5 separate regions of the Mus musculus genome follow, and regions 1, 3, 4 and 5 are each reported to be linked to region 2. Evidence: microRNA targets listed by miRTarBase, many of them from high-throughput screens and not tested one by one. Region 2 holds a microRNA gene; each other region holds the end of a gene's coding sequence. Distances are between the middles of the regions.

Region 1 (4,286 bases), not on the chromosome of region 2:
GTACCCGCCCCCTCCCCAGTAAGTCCCAGAGCGGGAAAGCTCAGAATATTCTCCTCGCTGACCAGGCAGGACTGTCACAGTGACCTCACTGCTTAGTTCCTGGAAAGCTTGGGACAGACAGGGGCCTTGGCTAGACTGTCCCCAACACCCACTCCCTGCCATGCTCAGTGTTGGGCTTGCGTTTCGCCACTGGGGCAGCAAGGCAGGCCAGCGGGGCCTCTCTGGGCTCTGGAAACAAGCTCTGCCACATAGCTCTGGACACAGCCCATCCCCTGGGGCCTGAAGGAGGTCACCGGGAGGTGATCTTTTTCCACCTCTGATTGAGCAAGACAAGGCCACTGGGGACAACTGAACAGCACAGCCAAACTTTGAAACAGAGAGACAGGGCCAGGCAAAGTGCCCACCCTCCCCCCACTCTCCTGCGTACCACCCCAGTCTCCCTGGGGGAGTCAGTGACGGGACTGGGGGATGTTCCTCTCCAGATCTGTTCACTGGCTTTTAGAAATGCCTCCTGGGGATTGTGAATTAGTAGAGCAGTTTGGCCCCTGAATACAGGGCTTCTGTTCCTCTAGGGCATTTCTACAGAGTTTTCCAGCTCTTCTCCCACCCCCCATCCTCAGCACACCACAAAAGCCTGTTGCCTTCAGCTGGTTACAGGTCACCACACAGGTCAGACCCTCCCTCCCTCCCTCAGAATCTGAATCTCCACTCTTCACTAGAGACAGCCAAGCTCCTGGAGTTCTGGAGAGGCAAAGGGGAGGGGTTGTCCAGGGGCTGGACTCAGAGACTATAAAACCAATTCACCAGGCAGAGATCACCGGCCAATTAAAGCAAGCAGCCAGGGGGAACCTCTTGCCTCCTTGAGCTGGGCTGCCAGCTGCCTCCAAGAGGTTGGAGAGAGGGGGCATATTTTTATTTATTTATATTTTACAGTCCTGGGATCCATCCGAGGGTCTCTTGACCGACAGGCAAGCCCTTTATCATTGAGCTTCAACTCCAGCCTGGATTCAGGTTAAAGATAAAAGAGGGTTTAAGTTTCACCCTGGCTTGCCTGAGTTAGTAAGTTTGGTCCCGGCTTGGCCCAAAATGGAGACAGTACATTCTGACCAGCTTCTGCCTGGTCCAGGCTCAATGTTCAGGTCAAACTCTGGGCTCAGTTCTCAGGCCACAGGGTACCCAGCCTGCACCTAGCAAGGTTGCTGAAGCTGACAGTCATGCCTTAGGACAGATGGAAAGTCTACTAAGTTATGTTAAAGATAACTGAAGTACAAGGTTCTGTATGGGGAGGGGCACGCATGTACCATCAAGCACATGTATTGCAGCACATGTACCAAGCACATACCAGAAGCCTGCCTGTCATAGCCTTGATCCAGGAAAGGGGAAGACCACATATGTCCCACACACATCTAAACTGCAGGGAGGGTGGGATGTAGGAAGGCTGGGCTTCACAAATAATCAAGCCCACCCTCAGAACCAGTCTTCATATTCATTACTTGGGTCCCCTCTCCTTGCAAACAGAAACCCACTTTCTTAGCAGACGAACTATGGTATAGACCCTGAGAAAAATGATTGTGGCCAAGAAGAGGTAATATCTCCAGGTCATCTGAGCAGAAAAACACAAAGGCTTATACACATGCCTTAAGGTCCTCCTCAGGACCACTGAGAGTGCACACAGTACCTTTGTGCAAATTAGGAAAGACATTCCTTACTCTGGGCAGACCCTGCCCACATCAGGATGTGCAGCCTAGAGAGCAGGGCACAGGCTGGACCTCAGCCTCTATGAGCCCCCTCTGTCGGTAGCCTTGGCAGGGAGAAACCTGCCCAACTGGACACCCAGGAGATCCGGTGCCCTTTTATGGTACTGAAATCCGCCCCCCCCCCCCACTTCTGCAGAATGGGGAGTCACTGGGCTTGTTCAATTTGAGTCTACTCTGAGTTTCTCCTCCAAAGTCCTTGAATAATCCTGTGTTCTTCTTTGTCTAGGGAAGCCATCTTTCTTTGAGCCTTGGCTCATCTTCATTATAGCACCAATGTCTTTCCTTACATACATAACACTTAGGACTTAATTTCTAAGATCAGCTGCTTTTCGTTCCCTCCCTGAGCACTGCAGCGGGGAGAGAAGGAAGGAGCTCCCAGGCAGCTAAGGTCCTGCTGGGTTCTAGAACTCTCCTTTCTGGCCTAGCTGAAAGCTAAAGGGAGATTCAAGATGTGTCAGCTCTGCAGTTTCCATGGTCTAAACATTGTCTGTTACTTCCAAAGTCACTTTTCAGCTGACAAAGCCTCAGTCCTAGCTTCTTCCTGTATCCCGCTAGGTACAGAAAAGGAATGGGGGTAAGGGGGAGGAGGTACACGTTTCCAAGGAAACCAAGAGGTCTAGGATTCCCCCGGGACCAACTTATCAGTGGGATGGCTGCTGGGTTCCCACGCCCCCAGCAAGCCCACCCCATCTCCAAGTGCTTCTGCTGAGATGGATGCAGACAGATCCAGTCCAGTCATTGGCAGGGTCTTCTGAAAACAGAGCTGACAAAGGCACAGGCCGCTGGGTACAACGGCATGGTGACTGGCTACTTGGCTCCAGCAAAGGTGGCAGTAGTTTGCACCCTTGGGGACCAATCAAGGGGCTTCCATGTAGGACCGAGTCAGACTTGAAGCCTCTCAAGTTTGATTCATTTTGTGGCACCTTTGAGGGGTTCTTGGAGAAGTCCGACCCTCCCTGAGGTCTTCCGGAAGTTGACAGCGTCTGAGTAAGAATCCCTGAGCCCATGCGGTGGGCGCTGGCTGTGCCAAGTGGGAACCCAGACGTGAATCGGGCTAGCCAAGGCACAGTTGATCTTAGCCAGGAGGCTCCCAGACAGGGTCCTGGTGGGTTAAAGCCATGATCCATCAGGCACGAAGGAAGGCTGACATGTTTGATGGTACTGGGAGCCTAACCTGACTTAACCAGCTCCGGTAGCAAGTCTCAGTCCACTTCCTGGAGAACATCACCAACTGGTCATCTTCAGAGCCTTAGGAACTCTACCAGCAGACACAGCTGCCTCTCCTTCAACAGTGTTTGACAAAGGCCCCCATCCTCAGTGGAGGTTCTGAACGGGGAAAGAAGATCCCACTGGGGCATGTAATATGTACACATGGATAGAAAGTTACGGATAACAAAACTTAACAAGACAGTATCTGTCCTCCCAGACTGCATTCCTGGTGATCCATCCGGCCAGGGCGGTCCAGCCTCACCAGGGCCCCACCCCTTCCCTGTTTTCTTGTCTGTTCAGGGCGAGGTTTTGAAGGAAAAGGAAGACCTGCCACCACGCACGGTCTCGGTTCTGCTGGTGCTGTAAGGAAAAGAGATGACCGTTAGGTGTCAGGCCACAGGCTCCTTACTGGGTCCCCAACAGGCTCCCACTGCCAGATCTCAGGCTGGCACCTTTGTGCCATCCAGCAAACTGGGGGACAAGAGACGAACCTCCCAAGACAACTGCAGCTTGGGCATTAAATACACCACGCTGGGCTGTGTGTACTGAGCACAGGAGGATCAGACTTTCTCCCTTGCTTACAGGATTTTTCCAGAGTTTAGCCAAGTACTGCTTTTAATCAGATTGGCTCCTGACACCCACCCCCCCCTTAACTTTAGCTGCATGAACAACAATCTTGCTTGAGCGAGAAAGACAAGAAGTCCCTCCCTCTCCCCCATTCCAAAGGAACACAGAGAACAAGAGAGGGAAGGGGAGGGGGAGCCTCCATCTGCAAGTGATTTGACACTGTGAAGGTCAAAGGGTTAATCTTCAATTTAAACCACACTGCTGAGGCAGCAAAAATCTGATTTCATCCAGTACAAACACACACACACACACACACACACACACACACACACACACACACACACACACACACACACACAGACTTGTGTGAGGCAGCCAGCCCTCTCCCCACTTCAGCATCCCCAGCTCCGGGCTGCCCTTTTTATAGCTGCTTTTGACAGTAAGCCATAAATAATCCCTCTTGGAGCGCTTTCCTACTGACTGGAGCCAATTAAACGTTAAGCAAGAACACACTTGAAAACAAAACAAAAACAAAGAATGCACACCAGCTCTGGAGGTTATCCCAGGTCCTACCGTTAGGCTGGGAAGCTAGGGGGCAAAGTTCAGAGGTCAAAAGCACAAAGGTTTCTGGCTGGTGTCCTGTCTACACAGGTATCATTTCCCAGAGGCCAGCAAAGGCCTGAAGGGGACAAGGGAGCCCTGGAAGAGGCAGTCTTTGTTCTCTCCTTGTCTGTCAGGGAAGGAGGACGGGCT
Region 2 (4,286 bases):
AGGAGCTGCAGTCTCCTACTTTAGTGGGGTAAATTAAAAAATACAGCTGAGGGACTTAGCTATTCCTACCAGCACATCCTTAGATGTGACTTAGAACATGGATTCTTCAATCAAAGGCTTGAAATAGCTTTGCAGCTGCAGGATGCATCATAGTCGCTGGGAAGTCTTTCCAGCAAATTCTCCAACAGCCTCCCACTTCCAGCAAAATGGGCAAGGCAGCCATCTGGGGTAAGGCAACTGGGATGAAGGCTTAGAAGAAGCTTCCTGAGCAGCTGATTTGCCATTAGTTATTAAAACCTACTGGCTTGAAATAATTGTACTGCAGGTAGTTCATAGTTAGCTATGCAACTCCTATGGAAGGGGCCACCTGCTTTCTTCCTGAAAGTTCCCCAATCATGAACCCTGCCCCTCCACCACCCCCAATGCTGGCAAATCTCTGAACAGTTTTATAGAACTTTTTCACCGCCTACTGAAGGGTTGAAATAAACTATCAGTGGAAAGTAGAACTCCCTCTGCTACAAATACAACTGAAATTAGCCTGCTCCCCTTTAAGGGCCACATGACAGTGCAGTTAAGTAAGTTCCCTGCAGCAACTGACAGGAGGAGGGTCAGAGTCCACAGTTCCCTTGGAACCAAGAATAGTCTTCCCATTTAGTAACATCCCTCAGCCTAGAGCTCCAACCTTCTGTCTCTGCTAATCTTTCATCTTTAGAATTTCATTCCTGTCTTAATGACCTTCATTTTTAATGTCTGCATGCAGCAACCTACTTCCAATTCCTTATGATTGGCACAGCAAATTAACTTTCCAGGGACCACTTCTCATTGCCATAGAATTATGAATGAAAAATAGTAGATAAAACAGACATGATAGATTGAATGTAGCAAATTATTTATTAAAGCCAACGTTTAACAGTACTTAGTTTATAACAGTACTACATGTCAGAAATTGTAACTGAGAATATTTTACAACAATAAATTATAACAATTAAAACCCCCCACTAAGTGATCTCTAACCTTGGCAGCCACATACATACGAATTAAAGAAGTTAGGAAACTGTGATCTTCCTTTTCCACTCTGCCCACGTAGGAAGTGATAGGCTGATGCTGATGCTGACACCACAAGGTTCTGAGGCTGGTGCTCTTCCCCCTACATCATAACCGATTTCAAATGGTGCTAGACAAAAACAGACTCTGAACACCAGGAGAAATCGGTCAGCCTGTGTAAGAGATGGACCGACTGGTGGTGTTCTTCAGGTCTGAATCTCAAGGCAGGTGACAGTCTGATTTCAGCTGTGCTGCAACCAGGACTGAATGAGTGCTCCATGGATCTTCCAGGTTCAGACGAGCCATACTGATGTGAATGAAGCAGTCCTCCACATACAGAGCTCTTACCCCTTCCTTGCTACAATTAATGAACAGTGCAGGCCCAAGGAACCCTCTTCCACCCATGGAATGCTGAATAAAGTAGACCACTTCCTGATTATACCCTTATACATTCTGAACACAAAAACTTTCTCACTATCACTGCCTCTAAACCAAACAGACTCAAGAGCAAATGTCACTATTCAAGTCTTCCCTTGATTTCTCGAAGGAGAGAGCCAGTTCTGTGTACAGCTGTTCCTCTGTAGTCTACCCTCTGCTGTGCTGCAATTCTTACTCCTAAAACACTGATTTCAAATGGTGCTAGATACAAAGATGGAAAAATCTAAGCCACCATGTGAAACCAGCTTCCAGAAGAAGAGGATCTCACTGAAGAAAGCAGAGATGTGCAGTCAGAAGAACCAGCCTCAGCCCTGAGAATCATTTTGCCTGTCAGACGCAGATGACAGCCATACAGCCAACACTTTGAGCAGACAAAAACAATGCAAAGCTTGTTTCCTGTGTGACTTCACATTAGTCATTAGAAATCATCATACACAATGAAATAAAAGAACCAAATCCATTCAACATATGTACATTTGTAATGTCTTGAATTTATGTAATTTCCCAAGATGCATAGTGTCGGTAGATATGTCACTTGTTCAAGACAATGACAATGACCTATGAGATGTTAACAACTGAACCCAAGTAAGTCACCTGTGCCAGGACAACTCTTCCACAAGTATTATTCAAAAAGAGTATGTTCCTTCCTGCTCTCTATCCCATGACCCTGTAGGCTAGCAATTTGATTTAACCCCTAATGTCTTTTTAAAAGCTGGTATCTTAACACTGTATTATACAGATAACCCTCTAACACAAAACAAGGTATGTTTTAAAAATGTACCTAAAAATAAGATTCACAAGCTATGTTTCACATTGTACTGCATTTTTGCTGTATATTTCCTCTGATGTCACAACTGTCATCTTTGAAAGGAGACAAAGAGTAGAGCTGTATTTTTCAGGTTCCCCAGAAAAACTTTTTGGCTTCCAGATACAAGCATATTTTTTTATGGCTCCTGGCTGTTTTGGGGTAATAGAGCAAATATAATGTGAGTATCCCCAGAGTCACAATATTCAATTGTTCCAAGATTCCAGTGAAGTAGGTTATTATTCCGATGTCTGCACAAGAAACTGTAGTCACAGGATACGATGAGCTAATGTCTATATTCCTTTCCCTCTGCCCACTGTTGCTGCTTGATCCACAGCTTGACTGTGACCTCTTTTCTCTTGAACTGAACTCAGAGCTAGACTGGGGAGGGGGATTTAGCTCAGACAATCTGGATGGGAGACTCACTGTAAACATGCTATCCCTGGGTGAAGATGAGAACACATCGTTGGTACTGCAAGAGGTCAAGTAGTCTAGGAGGACCTGCTTTTGTTCTTTTGCCTCATTGGTGCCCCTTTATTCTTTCCAGCAATAGAGAAGATGATAGCAATGAAGCCTAGCAATGCTGACACTGACTTCTCAGAAACTGGGCCAGCCAGAGGAGAAACAGAAGGCCCAGCAGCCTCCCTGGGGCTTTCCAGGGCCTTAGCTGCAGATGAGTGCTGGAAGATCTATACACTGGGTTTCTGAGTGACACTGACATTGGTTGGCAAAATTAGAGCCTGAGGGTTAGGAACTCTAACCCATGATAGGGAGGGCTTTAGGTCATAAATAGATTAGATGGCAGTTATTAACAAGGGTCAAAATCCTGTAAATGAAGGGGAAGGTGAGATTTGCATATGATAATATTCAACTCTTCTGATTTCCATTTCAGCCTAATTTTCTTAGCAACTTCCTCTACCATCCCCCAATCCCCTCCCTCTATGCTAAGGAGAGAGATCCTGCAGGGATCCAGGGCACACCTTTCCTCCCAGAAGGTTCTGCTTGTGCTGGCATCTCCTTTTATCAATCCTCCACCTCCTCTGTCAGCCATCTCAGCTCTAGAAAGCTTTCCCTCAGGCTATTCCAGTTTGCTATCATTTAGAAAACACCTGTTTCTTTTGGTCCTCAGCATGCCATGAAGCTAATTCCTTTCTTCCTATCCAGCAAATAAAGGGCCTGGCAAGGGGAAACTACCAGTGAAGGACTAGGATTACATCCATGGACTGCAAACCCTGTTTTCTGTAAATAAGAATCACTGAAAGATAATTTAAGCAGTGAACTACAGAGGAGGGAAAGTAGTCCTAGCATTTAAACCTTATGTTCATCCAATCCCACTCAGTCTTCAGCATCCTATAAAAGCAGGATTTCTGTAGTCAGCTGAGCAGTGTCCCTTTTCTGAAACAAGGTGGTGATCCTTCACTACTTTGGAATAGCTGGATGATTTGATAAACTCCGGAAGACTGTAGCTCTCTGGCACCAGGCCTGAGAGTTACCTGAATGTCTAAGAGGGCAGCCCTTGAAAACCTTAGGGCTGTTAGGGCTCTGCTCTCAGTGAGAATAATGGGATCTCCCTTCTCAACTGAGTGGCTTCAAGTAAACTTTATGCTACTGGGCTTAATAGAGTTGTCTAGAAAAGAAACCCTGCCTCACTTTTCAGTTCTGAACAGGCCACAGAGCAGGTAAGAAGTCTGAGACGCCACTCTTCAGCCTCCATCTGTTCCTATACTTATTTCTCTCTGGAAGCCATTCTACCCTCCCATGACAGGTCACTCCTTTGGTAAGGCAGGGGCAGACAGGGAGAGGCAATGTCACTCCTTGGTAAATTAGAACACCTGCTTGTCTATATGCTGAGAACAGGGCCCTGCCATAGTCTTGAATGGCTTCAGTGTCTTCATCTGTAAAGACAAGCTAGGGAAAACTGGTCAGAACACACGTATACACACAGCCAGAGACAACAACAGCATGCAAGAGAGGTACAGTAATCTTGAAAAGTCATATT
Region 3 (4,286 bases), 180 Mb from region 2:
CTGTCAGCAGCCTATTATAGACCACCGGCTTACACATTCTTCTTTACTCTCAACAAACATAACTATATATATCTCATCTTGATAACAAGGACAAGAGCTCGATCAAGCCCTGATGTTGTTTTGCTCACCTTTGTTGCTGCAGTATCTGGCACAGTCCCCAGTAAAAAGCATTTAATAGATGTCACAGCTTTTATAGCTCTGTTGCTAGGCTTTTAAAATGACTAATAGATTTAGTAGTTCCCCATCCTTCCCCTTTGAGAAGATCTACTTGCAATGTGCACTATCTGAAGTATGCTGTGGCAATGTGACGACTGCATGGCTTTTTATTAAAAAAAATTTTTTTTTTCAAGTTTCAAGTCCTGAAATTTGCTCTGTTGACCAGGCCTCTAACTCAAGAGATCCGCCTGCCTCAGCCTCTGAGTGCTGGGATTAAAGGCGTGTGCTGCCACCACCTGGCTTTTCACAGATTTTTAGCTCAAAATGTCCTTTTCATCTTCTTCCCCAACAAGAGGTAACAGGCATTTCACTGGTTCAGAAGGGATGATGATGGCTAGGACTAAGACTGGCTAGGGGTAATGAACTCTGGAGGTAGAATAGGGACCACTTGGACATGTGGGATGCACACAAACCAAGAAGGATTTTTTCTTTAAAATTTTCTAATTTGATCAACTGAATGGTGTTTGTATTCAACCCTCTGGGAAAGAGCAGCTAAGAGGTAAGCTAATCTATTCATTTACCAATGAAACTAAATTCTATAAATTTTATTGATGTGTCACCATTTTTTAGTTTTTGGTGGTGGCACTGTGGAAGGCAGTTATTACTGATCACTTTAGGGACACCACTTGGCACTGACTATGCTTTCAGGTTTACAGTGTTTTTGTGGTCAGTGTCACCATTCATGCCCAGAACTTTTTACACTCTTACTGAAACTTGAGTAAGTCTGTCCCTTTTCCTCCAAATCATTCACAATTCTTTCCTTCTATACACTTTCCTGCTTCATGTAAGTGGAATCCTGATGTTTGCCTTTGGTGTCTTATCTCATGTAGCACTGTGTCTTTGGAATTCATGCACCATGCAACATCTGTCAGGCATCTCTGTTTTTAAGGTGTTTTTCTTTCAGCCCTGTAGATACCTGCTTAAGTCAGGCTTTGGGAATGGTTCTCAGAAGCTGAACTGCTCAGACATACTGTGAGTTTGTTTTATCTTTCAGAAGCTGCTCTATCAACTGATTGTAAAGGTCCCAGTTTCTTTGTACCTCAGTGGCTGCTCTTTTTATTTTCAGAAAAAACAAAAAAAAAACAAAACAAAACAACAAAACAGTTATCCAAATGGGCAGGAAGCTGGAACCTGTTCCAATTTGTGTTTGGCTTTGTATTGGTTAAAGATGAGAAACAGTTTTTTTTTTTGTTTTTAAAGATTATTTATTTAATTTATGTATGTGAATCCATTGTTGCTCTCTTCAGACACACCAGAAGAGGGCATCAGATCCCATTACAGATGGTTGTGAGCCACCATGTGGTTGCTGGAAATTGAACTCAGGACCTCTGGAAGAGCAGTCATTGCTCTCAACCGCGGAGCCATCTCTCTAGCCCGAGAAACAGTTTTTCTCTTAGGCATCTTCTTTGGAGAAACATTTGTTGTCCATTTGTGAGTTATCTGGGTCACTGGCTTTTAATTCTTGAGTTTTTAGTTATTTTGTAGTATGGAACACTTCTGGGTATATGACATATTTACATGGAACAAGAAAAAAATGTGTTTAGCTTGCATAAAAATGCATCACTGAAAAGCCCACTTCAGCGGGTGGGGTGGGGTGGGGAGGTGTTGCCTCAGGAAAGGCATCTTCCTGGAGCTCTCCTCTATTACCTGTAGACAGCTCAGGAGGCTAAAGTCTCTTCTCTCCAGCAATCAGTATTGCCGAGATAACCTTGGGGAGGGACCTGCTGAATTATTTAAGTTTCAGAAACTTTTTAAGACTTGTGAGTTATTTATTTCCTGAGCCCCATTAAGTTTCATTTACTTCCCGAGTCTTAGGAGTCTCCCTCCAGGACGGAATGTTTTAATTTGGAGGAAATTACTATGCAGTACCACTATTCTAACCATTATTTGAGAATGTTATTTATATATTTAAAAGACTATCTTGCCATCTTCTAATTAAAAGAAAACACTTTCTAGTATATAATTCATATATAAACGGATGGCCATTTCTATACTAAAATCTAAAATTGCAAAGCATGCTGTCGTGGGCTGGAGAGATGAGATGGCTCAGCAGTTCTGAGCAATGGCTGTTCTTCTAGAGGACCCAGTTTGATTCTGTGGACACACATGGTGACTAACACCTGTAACTGCAGTTCCAGGGAATCCAGTGCCCCTTCTGGCCTCTGTGCACACTGCACACATGGAGTGCACAGATACTCATGTAGGCAAAATATTCATACACATAAAATAAAATTTTAAGAATTACTTATTATTAATCACATAATATTTTAAATTAGTATATTTAGTATTTGTTAATGATCAACTTATGAATTGCTTATGGGATACCGTTACAAGAAAATAAACATAGCATAGAACTGTAGAAACAATACTTAAATGATATAATTGATAGAAAAGTGAAATAAACTTGGTATGTAAAAGGCATTGACAGGGCTGAAGAAAAGGAATGCGTATGCAGATATGTGTGCTGTTGATTGAAGTAGCTAAAGAAAGCAGTATTACTGGCAAATGCTAACAAATAACTGTGGTGGTTTGAATAGAAACGGCCCCCATAGACTCATGTGTTTGAATGCTTGGCCCATAGGGAGTGGCACTATTAGGAGGTATGGCCTTGTTGGAGGAAGTGTGTCGCTGTGGGCTTGGGAGAGCCTCCTCCAGGCTGCCTGCAGAAGACAGTCTTGTTCTGGCTGCCTTCAGATCAAGATGTAGAACTCTCAGCTCCTTTTCCAGCACCATGTCTGTCTGCAGGCTGCCATACTTCCCACCATGATGATACTGGACTGAATCTCTGAACTGTAAGCCAGCCCTAATTAAATGTCTTCCTTTATAAGAGCTGCCTTAGTCATTTTTGTTTTTTACAGCAATAGAAACCCTAACAATCAAACTCTAAAGTATTAACTGGTTTGAATTGTTCAAAATCTATTATTCTTAATAACCACTTTACTTAATCCATAGAAAATTGAAAAAGTGCTAGATTCTGAATTTCTGGTAAAACCTTCCAAGACCAAGGTTAGATCAGTAACCTGTCCTCCAGATATAAAATGTAATTTACATATTTTACAATTATCACGGATTACAAGTATCAAGGGTTATTTTCAAAGTTGTGCATTTAATATTTTCTATAAATATATAATCTATAGCTAAAAGAAAATACCATCTTCTAAAAGCAAAACAAGACAGAACTTCACTGATCTGTAACTAAAGGACGGCTTTCCATTTCTTGACAGGAGTTGTTGTGTAGACTAGAAAAAAAAAACAGAAAGTAAAAACAAGAGATAAGTACATCACTGGATTCCACATTTTTTTATAGTAAGGAAAAGTGCACCTTCCTTAGGCGAATCTTGTTGATGACTAGGTAAGCAATATGGCTGAGGCTTCTACACAAAATTCAACCTTGGGCTCACTTCTTGATTTTAAGGACTAGACTTTTATAACAATGCCTGATTTGACAAGCTCATCTATCAGCAGGAAAAAGTTACAGAACTCCCACTTTACCATCTCTGACTTCACTTAAAAGCTGTGCCTGTTCTCCACATGCCAGTACCCTTGGTCCCCCCAGGCACTGTGTGTCTCTATGGCAGAGGACTTGGACCTACTTCACTGAATGGGAGACTTAGGGAGACTTCAGGTGAGCTCCTGCAAAACTGTTTAAGTGCCAGGAGAAAAGGCATTAATATTCAGAAGGATACATACATATCTTCCCATCTTTCTCTAGTTTTCTCAAATGAAGCAAGAGATTATGCTCTGCCATCTTATGTAAATTCTCTGGAACATCCTGAAAGAAAAACAGGATAAAAGGAGTCCCATTTTTAAAGAATACTTAATTGTTTAGAGCCTTTTCCAGCTTTCCTACCACACACAACACCCAAGTTCCCCTCCAGCACACATGAAGTGGGTGAGCAGCACACATGGAGTGGGCGAGCAGCACACATGGAGTGGGCGAGCAGCACACATGAAGTGGGCGAGCAGCACACATGAAGTGGGCGAGCAGCACACAGGCAATCTCAGGCTCAGGAGGCGCAGGCAGGATGTGCAGACGGTCAAGCTCATCCTTGGCCACTGCGAGTTAGAAA
Region 4 (4,286 bases), not on the chromosome of region 2:
TGTGAGGTCTCATCTCTAAGGTCCCGTGGTGATTTTTCTTCCAGGCTAGAGGAGGTTTTGGCTATGGGGCTGCGTACTGATGTTGGAGTCACTCACCAGGTAAGGGACTGGGGGGATCTCAGATATTATTAGCACCTCCTAGGGTCACTTCCCAGGCCCTACTCCCTCCATCCTCTAGGTTGGCAACTAGAAGCTGGACCTGGCCAACTGAAGTCTGGTGACAGAGGCAGTGGGTAGTGCTGTATGCCAGTTAAAGATTGCACGTAGAGCTCTGTGCTGGGCAGGTGCTCTACCACTGAGCTATTATTCACATTAAATCCAAGTGTGTGTGTGTGTGTGTGTATGTGTGTGTGTGTGTGTGTGTGTGTGTGTGTCGGCCAGCTCATTGCACTGACTTCTGATTCCTAGCACTGGCAGCAGTTTGAGCCCCAGCTGACCCTGTGGGACGTGTTTGGAGCAAGCAAGGAGGTGGAGGAGCTGCTAGCTCAGGGTCTGCTGCTGCTGGATTACAGGTATGTTGGGAATATTGTGCGGAGGGGGCTTCACAGACCCTGGGAGCTCTTGACTACAGATTGGGGCGTGGGAGGACTGCCATAATGAGTGTGTCACAACTAAATGTTCCCCTCCTTTTCAGAGTGGTAGAAACAAGAAAGACCAATAGAGGAGGGCATGGGCTGCCAGGGGTGGGCAGGAATGGGCCTTTATGGTAAAGTTAGAGTCATATCCAGACCTCTCGGTTTTCCAGGGGTCTCCGGTGTTCCTGGGAGGGCCTAGCTGTGCTGGACTCCCTGTTATTGACCCTCCTACCTCAACTCCAAGAGGCCTGGCAGCACAGGCCTTCCTCACCCGTGTCAGGAGGATGACCAGACATCCTTGTATCATGAGGAAGCACCAGTTGGACTTAGAGGGCTGGGCCAGATGGTGGGCATCTGCCGGTAGGTGCCATCTCTGCTCTGAGGTGCTATTGCTTGGCTCTGACACCCCCATGGGAATGGATGTGGTCAGTTGGATGGACGGCTGCCTCTGTTCTGGGGACTGGTATCCCTCACAGCATCCCAGGAGTCACAGGTCAGCAAGTGTTCCCTGCCTAGGATGTCCTCACCACCCCACTCCCACCCCCCGCCACTGGCTTTTGTTGACTTTTTTGGACACCAAATAACACAAAATCTTTCTACAGGGAATTGTATCTATCAGAGAAGCCTCATTCTAGAGAGAAGCCCTAGCTTGTATGGTTCAGTAGAACTAAATCCCCTCCAGGTACCTTACACAGAAGAAATATAGGAACAAGATGTTTACAAAACCATTTGAAGGGCTGGAGAGATGGCTTGGTGGTTTGCTCTTCTAGAGAACCAGGGTTCAAGTCCCAGCAGCCATGTGGCAGCTCACAACCATCAGTAACTCTCATTCCAGGGGATCCGGCACCTTCTTTTCACCTCTTCGTGTACCAGACACCTGTGTGGTGCATAGATATTCATCTAGGCAAAACACTCATATGCATAAAATAAAAAGAAATAAATCTAAAAAAAATATTTTTATCCAAGGCCACTTGTTGTACAGAAATGTAACCTATACTCTATGTATGTCTCATTATTTCCTAAGGGTTGAATTCAGGTTCAAAGTTTTAAACATTATTTTCATTTTTATTATTTATTTGGATTTTCAAGATGGGGTCTCTCTGTGTGGCCTTGGTCCTGGAGCTCACACTGTAGACCAGGCTTGTCTAGAACTCAGAGATCTGCTTGCCTTTCTTTGCCTTCCGAATGTAGGGATTAAAGGCTTGCACCAATACTGCCCACATTTTATTAAAGTGTGTGTGTGTGTGTGTGTGCGCGCGCGCGCGCGCGCGCGCGCGTGTGTGCGTGCAGCCATGGAGGCCAGAGTAGAGTGTTGTATCTTCTGGAGACAGAGTTACAGAGGAATGAATGTGAGCCATCTTTTCTGAGCACCACACTCTGGTCCTCTGGAAGAGCAGGGAGCACTCTCTCCTGCTAAGCTATTTCTCCAGCTTCTATTTTGAATGTAAAAGATTGTGGGGTTTTTTTTCCCCCTGAGACAGTGCCATATGTACCCGACACTGCAAACTCACTGTGTGGCTGAGGACAGTGTTTAGCATCGGACCCCCTGCTTCTGCCTCCCGAGTGCTGAGATCACGGGCATGCACCACCACACCCATTTTTCTGTGGTTCTGGACTTCATGCGCTGAGGCAAACACCACTATCTAAATCCCCAACCCTATCAGGTTCAGTATTATTATTTTTTTAATTTAGATTTATCTTTCTTACTATTTAAGTATTTTGTGTGCATGCCTTTGAATGTGCACACCATGCGTGTGCCTGTTGGATCCCCTGGAACTGGGCTTGCGGATGGTTGTGAGCCACAATGTGGGTGCTGGTTATTGAATGTGGGTCCTCTGCCAGATCAAATAAGTGCCCTTAACTGTTGAGCCATCTCTCCAGCCCCGAGGGTAATAGTGCACAGCTGCATCTTTCCTTTGAAATTAAGGAGTTCATTATCTTGGCTTGAGACCATGAGACCAAATGTCCCATCGCCTGATAATCATTTGACCAGTGACTTTAGCACCTACTAGTGATTCTTTCCCAAATTACTTTTAAAATTTACATTTGTATTTTTAAACATTTACTTATGTCTACAATTGCTCTATCTGCATGTACACCTGTATGCCAGAAGAGGACCTCAGATCACACTATAGATGGTTATGGGCCATTACATTGGTGCTGGGAATTGAACTCAGGACCTCTGGAAGAGCAGACAGTGCTCTTAACCACTGAGCCATCTCTCCAGCCTCAAACTTAGGTATTTTATGTATATGAGTGCTCTATTTGTATATATGCCTGCATGACAGAAGAGGACATCAGATTATATATAAATGGTTGTGAGCAACCATGTGGTTGCTGGGAATTGAACTCAGGACCTATGGAAGAGCACCCTGTGCTCTTATCTGCTGAGCCATCTCTCCAGCCTAGCCAAATCATTTCTTAAATTGAGGATTGCAAAGTATTGGTTTCTGATTCTATTATTCCTTCCAAATTAATTATTTTCCATTTTCCCCATAAAAAAGAACTTTCCTCTGTTATTGTTACAATGTTAAGAATCAGACCTATGGCCTTGTTCAAGCCAGACAACCTCCTTCTATGGTAGGAATCTCAAACCTGTAAATTCCTAACCCTGTAACAGGCTCATCCCATCGAATAGACCTTAGGTTGTCAGACTCCCTGGACGGGGGGGGGGGGGGGGGCGCTGCCATAATGGGTATGTCTCAACTAGATGTGTCCTTGCTCTTCAGAGGGACATATTTCTTCCTGATAACGCAAGACCTTTTTTCTTCTCCCCTGCCGCCTGCAGGGGAATCAGAGACAGTCTGGTGATGTGAAACCTCCCCCTTCTACTGAGATCTATAGGAAGGGGCCCCCCACTCTACCCTGGGGAACTTGGATCCTCTTCAGAACCCTACCATGTTGTCTGTGTGTCTATGACACTGGGGCTTGAATGTTCCCGCTACTGTACACTGTGCCGCTGTGCCTGTGTGTCTGTGGTACTGATAATTCTCTTAATAAATCTCTTACCCCAAAAGACAGACCTGCGTAGCTCCTCCTTGAGGCACTTCCAACCTTTCATTCTTGACTTGGAAATTGTATGCCATGCCATGCATGCGTGTGTGTGTGTGTGTGTGTGTGTGTGTGTGTGTGGTTTGTTTCATTGTGCTAGGGCTGGAACTCAGGACCTGTCACTGAGCTACGTTCTCAGCCTAAAGCTCCTTAACTAATTCCTTATCGTGGCAAAGGGTACCACGGTGCCAGAAGTGATTTAGTAACCCTGCAGGTGGAAGCATGCTGACTTCTAGTGGATGATGAAAGGCCAGGGGATCCCCCACACTGCTTAGGAGTAAGCACGTGTATTTCCCATGTGCCGGTGGGTGTGAATGCCAGTCCTTCTTTGACCCTGTGGTAACGTGGTAACTGTTACTTTATTCATGAACTACTCACCTAGCACCAGTGGTCTGCCAGGCACCGTACTGGGCATGAACAGAGGAATAAGACCTGTCTGTGCTCTCAGGGAGCTTGATGCTGCGGTGACAGATGTTCAGAGATAAAGCGTTGCTGGTTAAGGTGTTTCAGACAGCTATGGGAGCCTGGAGGGCACTGGGTTTTGAGGGGCTGAGAGGAAGAAAGAAGGCGAAAGGTGTTTGTCTTATCAAATCTTGTACCCCTAGAGCCCTGGTGAGTCTAGGCTTAGAGCAGCTGGTGGGTGGCTGGGGCCGCTCAAGG
Region 5 (4,189 bases), not on the chromosome of region 2:
CCCCTTAGAGCCCTTGTGATTCGTAGGGTGTGTGTGCTAGGCTCTATGCTATGGGAATTCTGCCCCAGCCCCTTCCCACCTAGGTTGGGAGAGTGTGCCCTGGTGAGTGAGGGGCTGAAAAATGGCTGGTAAGAGGGTTGCGCTCAGTTTTGGGACCGATCTCGAACCCACACCTTTTGCTCACTAACCCACTGTCTGCGGGTCCAAGCTAATTCCTACTTCCTCCTCTCCCCAGAGACAAGAAGAGCAGCATCGACACCGACCCTCACCCTGGAGGGTCATGTACAATCTCTTCATGGGACTCCTCCCCTTACCCAGGGATCCTGGAGCCCCAGAAATGGAGCCCAACTAGGTGCCTACACCCGCCCGGGGGACGTCGGAGACTTGGGGGGCAGGACCCCCTCCGCCTTCTGACACCCTGGCCAGCGCGGGGGACTTTTTCTGCACCATGTAGCATACTGGACTGCCAGCCTTGCCCGTCCCAGGGGCAGGCAAGGGATGCCACTCGAGCCCGGGCAGCCTGGGTGCACTGATGGAGATACGGACTTGGGGGGACCCTGGCCTCCCGAAAGCCAGGGAAGGGAGGGCTGAAGGACTCATGGTGACTGAGGGGGTGGGGACCGAGCCGCCCGCCTCTGCCGCCCACCACCATCTCAGGAAAGGCTGCTGGTGCTGGCTGCCCGTTCCAGCTGCAGGGGGGACGCTGGGGGTGTCCCCAGTGCGCCTTCACTTTGGGCCTGGCCTCAGGCCCCTGGTGCTTCCCCCCCTCCTCCTGAGGAGGGGGTCTGTGAAGAGCATATGAGCCAAACCTGACCACTAGCCTCCTGGAGCCAGAGAATGGGGGGCGTGTGAAGGCCTTCTTAACCCAGTGCCCAGCCATCTTCCCTGAGCCGCCGGCGGGCGGTGAACGATGCCTGCCTCACCTTCATCTGGGGGTGTCCAGGAGGGGTCCAGACTGTGAATCCTGTGCTCTGCCCGGGACCACCCCCCCCCCCCCAATCCCCATCCATCTCATTGCATAGGTTTAGAGAGAGCACGTGTGACCACTGGCATTCATTTGGGGGGTGGGAGATATTGGCGGAAGCCACCCCAGCCTTAGTCCCCAGGGCAAAGCGCTGGGGAGGAAGATGGGGAGTCAGGGAGGGGGGAAGTCTCAGAAGAGGGAGGAGTCTGGGAGCGGGGAGGGACGGCCCAGCCTGTAAGATACTGTACATGCACTGCTGTAGATATACTGGAATGAATTTTCTGTACATGTTTGGTTAATTTTTTTTGTACATGATTTTTGTATGTTTCCTTTTCAATAAAATCAGATTGAACAGTGAACACTCTTTTTGTTAGCTTTACCAGTGACAGAGCATCTGGCACTACCTGTAAGGACATGAAAGAAACGGTGTGTGTGTGTATGTGTGTGTGTGTGTGTGTGTGTGTGTGTGAGAAATGGCTCAGTGGTTAAGAGCACTGACTGCTCTTCCAGAGGTCCTGAGTTCAAATCCCAGCAACCACATGGTGGCTCACAACCATCATAATGAGATCAGACACCCTCTTCTGGAGTGTCTGAAGGCAGCTACAGTGTACTTACATATAACAATAAATAAATGTAAAAAAGAGAAAGAAAGAAAGAAACTGGAACTTTTGGACTCTTAAGGGGCAGTCATACTAAAAGGTAAGCTAGAGGCTGGTCTGGTGGCACAGGCCTGTCGTAGCTAGTTGGAAGGCCTGAGCAACTGAGACCCAGTCTCAGCAATGGGGAGGGGACAGGTGGAGGGGACAGGCGGAGCGCTGGCTCAGCAGGTAGAAGTATGGGCTGTTCTTCAAGAGGATCTGCATTTAGGTCCCAGCACCCATGCTGCAGCTCACACTCTGTAACTCAAGTTCCAGATCTGATACCTCCTGGCCTGCGGGTACCAGGCATGTGCACAGGGCCCATTCCATGCGGACAAGGAAACCCAAAACCCCAAAAACACATATGCACATAAAATAGGTAAATGTGCCAGGGAGGTGGCTCAACTGTGAAGAGCACCAGCCGTTCTTCCAGAGGTCCTGAGTTCAATTCCCAGCTACCACATGGTGGCTCACAACTATGTATAATGTTATCCAATGCCCTCTTCTGGCCTGCAGGCTTTCATATAGATACAAACTTCATATACAATTAATTTAAAAATAAAGCCGGGCGTGGTAACACACACCTTTAATCCCAGCACTTGGGAGGCAGAGGCAGGTGGATCTATGAGTTTGAGGCCAGCCTGGTCTACAGAGTGAGTTCCAGGACAGCCAGGGCTACACAGAGAAACCCTGTCTCAAACAAACAAACAAACAAACAAAAAAACAGTAGAAAGACTGGGAGCATTGCTCAGTGGTAGAGCCCCTGCCTAGTAGGATATGGAGGTGTGGCTCAACTGAGCACAAAGTCCTGGGTTCAGTTACTTATACCAAGAGAAAAAAGGAAGGCGGGATGAAAGAGGCACAGAAGTTGTAGCTACACAGAGCTGGCAGCCACTGCTGTAGTCTTGAGAGCAAGCACACACAGGGACTAATACTTCATGTGTACTTATTTCATCAGGTATGAAGAGTGTAACTAAGCTTAAGATTTACTGTACGAACGAACGAATAGCTTATAGTTTAGAAGCCACTGTTTCAAGAGCTTGAGTTACAGATTGTGAGCTCTGTCCTGAATGACATGGGGTCTAGCCTGGCCCTGTGACCAGCCTCAGGTTGCTCTCTGGCTGGAAAGGGACCTGGAGCTAAGATCAGAACTAGACATTCCTTGCACCATTGTCCTAAGGCCAGGCACATGGCCAGCTCTCGATGCTGAGCACAGCCTCAGAACCCACTTTGCATTATTTTGAGAAAGGAGAGTTTTTCCTACTAACTGACTGAGAATTGGCAGTCCTTGAACCCACTCAAGTGCCAGCTTTGTAATGACTTCAGGGAGAGGCAGATATGTAGTATATCCCTTCCTGGTGGCCAGTGACAGTAAAAAGCAATTTAGGGGAAGTGGATCTTCTAGAGGGCTGTGGGCATAGAGGAGAGGAATCTGATGAAGCCATATCCACTGCCCTCCTGAGCATCTCCACGAGAAGAACATATATGTGTTCAAGAGTCCAAGTGTACTGTGCACACAGCAGTTCTCAAAAGTGCCAAGTCGACGGGCAGTGGTGGCGTACACCTTTGATCCCAGCACTTGGGAGGCAAAGGCAGGCAGATTTCTGAGTTTGAGGCCAGCCTGGTCTACAAAGTGAGTTCCAGGACAGCCAGGGCTATAAGGGAAACCCTGTCTCAAAAAAACAAAAACAAAAACAAAAACAAAACAAAACAAAACAAAACAAAAAAAAAGTGCCAAGTCTGGGGTGTGATGTGGTAGCACACACCTTTAATCCCAGCACTCAGGAGGCAGAGGCAGGCAGATCTCCGAGTATGGCTACAGAGAGAAACTTTGTGGGTGGGGGGAAGTGCCAAGACTAATTAATTGCCACCAGGCATGAGAACCTAACTTCAGCCCCCAGACTCATATTATAGAAGGAGAGAACTATTCTCTACAAGTTGTCCTCTGACCTCCATCCACAGAAGCACTGTGTCTCTAAAACTATTGATTCCTTTAATATTTTTAATATCTTTAATAAGATTTAACTGATTAATTTTCATAAGTATTGTATGGGCCAGATTGCTAACACCTGTCTGAAATTCCAGTACTTGGGGAATGGCGGGGGGGTGGGGGGTGGCGGCGGCAGGAGGATCAGGAGTCCAAGGGCAGTCCAGGGATGGGTGAGACCTTATATTAGGCAATTTCTTGTTGCTGCTACCAAAATATTTGCTAACAAGCAGCGTTGTTGTTGGTGACTGGAGAGACGGCCAGGTGCTTCACAGTACTCCTGGTTTTTGGAGAAGGCTTAGGTTGAGTTCCCAGCACTTGCAGGGCAGCTGATAACATCCGCTCCAGGGGAACTGATGTCTTCTTCTGGCTTTTCTGTGCACTAGACACACATGGTGCCCAGACAAACCTACAGTGGACAAAACATGGAGATACAAAAAATGAATTTTGCCGGGCATGGTGGCACACGCCTTTAATCCCAGCACTCGGGAGGCAGAGGCAGGCAGATTTCTGAGTTCGAGGCCAGCCTGGTCTACAAAGTGAGTTCCAGGACAGCCAGGGCTACACAGAGAAACCCTGTCTCAAAAAAAAAAGAGAGAG

The links. The annotated mature microRNA mmu-miR-29b-3p reads UAGCACCAUUUGAAAUCAGUGUU and lies in region 2 at 1,664-1,686, opposite strand. An mRNA with a match to its seed (bases 2 to 7 or 8) in the 3' UTR can be bound and repressed. Matches are read on the target gene's strand: a 7mer-m8 pairs with bases 2 to 8, a 7mer-A1 pairs with bases 2 to 7 and ends in A, and an 8mer does both.
Region 1: the mRNA of Bmf is a reported target of mmu-miR-29b-3p. Seed matches in the 3' UTR shown: 8mer at 2,023-2,030.
Region 3: miRTarBase lists Lactb2 as a target of mmu-miR-29b-3p. Seed matches in the 3' UTR shown: 7mer-m8 at 2,942-2,948.
Region 4: the mRNA of Rsad1 is a reported target of mmu-miR-29b-3p. Seed matches in the 3' UTR shown: 7mer-A1 at 958-964 and 7mer-m8 at 2,731-2,737.
Region 5: the mRNA of Bbc3 is a reported target of mmu-miR-29b-3p. Seed matches in the 3' UTR shown: 7mer-m8 at 668-674 and 7mer-m8 at 753-759.

Annotation. Positions count from the first base shown.
Region 1 is chr2:118,529,334-118,533,619 of GRCm38, forward strand. It overlaps Bmf (BCL2 modifying factor), which reads right to left. Exons shown (of 5, transcript NM_138313.4): 5 at 1-3,326. The coding sequence ends at 3,225. Among named protein-coding and RNA genes, the nearest start is that of Bmf, 18 kb to the right of the region's middle.
Region 2 is chr1:195,034,491-195,038,776 of GRCm38, reverse strand. Mir29b-2 (microRNA 29b-2) reads right to left here and starts at 1,737; the gene lies at 1,657-1,737. A330023F24Rik (RIKEN cDNA A330023F24 gene) reads right to left here. Exons shown (of 8, transcript NR_015566.2): 8 at 869-4,286. It overlaps Mir29c (microRNA 29c), which reads right to left and starts at 1,230; the gene lies at 1,143-1,230.
Region 3 is chr1:13,623,450-13,627,735 of GRCm38, forward strand. Lactb2 (lactamase, beta 2) reads right to left here. Exons shown (of 7, transcript NM_145381.2): 6 at 3,907-3,988; 7 at 2,449-3,455. The coding sequence ends at 3,412. Among named protein-coding and RNA genes, the nearest start is that of Lactb2, 35 kb to the right of the region's middle.
Region 4 is chr11:94,539,107-94,543,392 of GRCm38, reverse strand. Rsad1 (radical S-adenosyl methionine domain containing 1) reads left to right here. Exons shown (of 9, transcript NM_001013381.2): 7 at 45-99; 8 at 409-512; 9 at 746-3,595. The coding sequence ends at 863. Among named protein-coding and RNA genes, the nearest start is that of Rsad1, 8.0 kb to the left of the region's middle.
Region 5 is chr7:16,316,883-16,321,071 of GRCm38, forward strand. Bbc3 (BCL2 binding component 3) reads left to right here. Exons shown (of 4, transcript NM_133234.2): 4 at 236-1,452. The coding sequence ends at 352. It also overlaps a transcript of Sae1 not described here. Among named protein-coding and RNA genes, the nearest start is that of Bbc3, 9.4 kb to the left of the region's middle.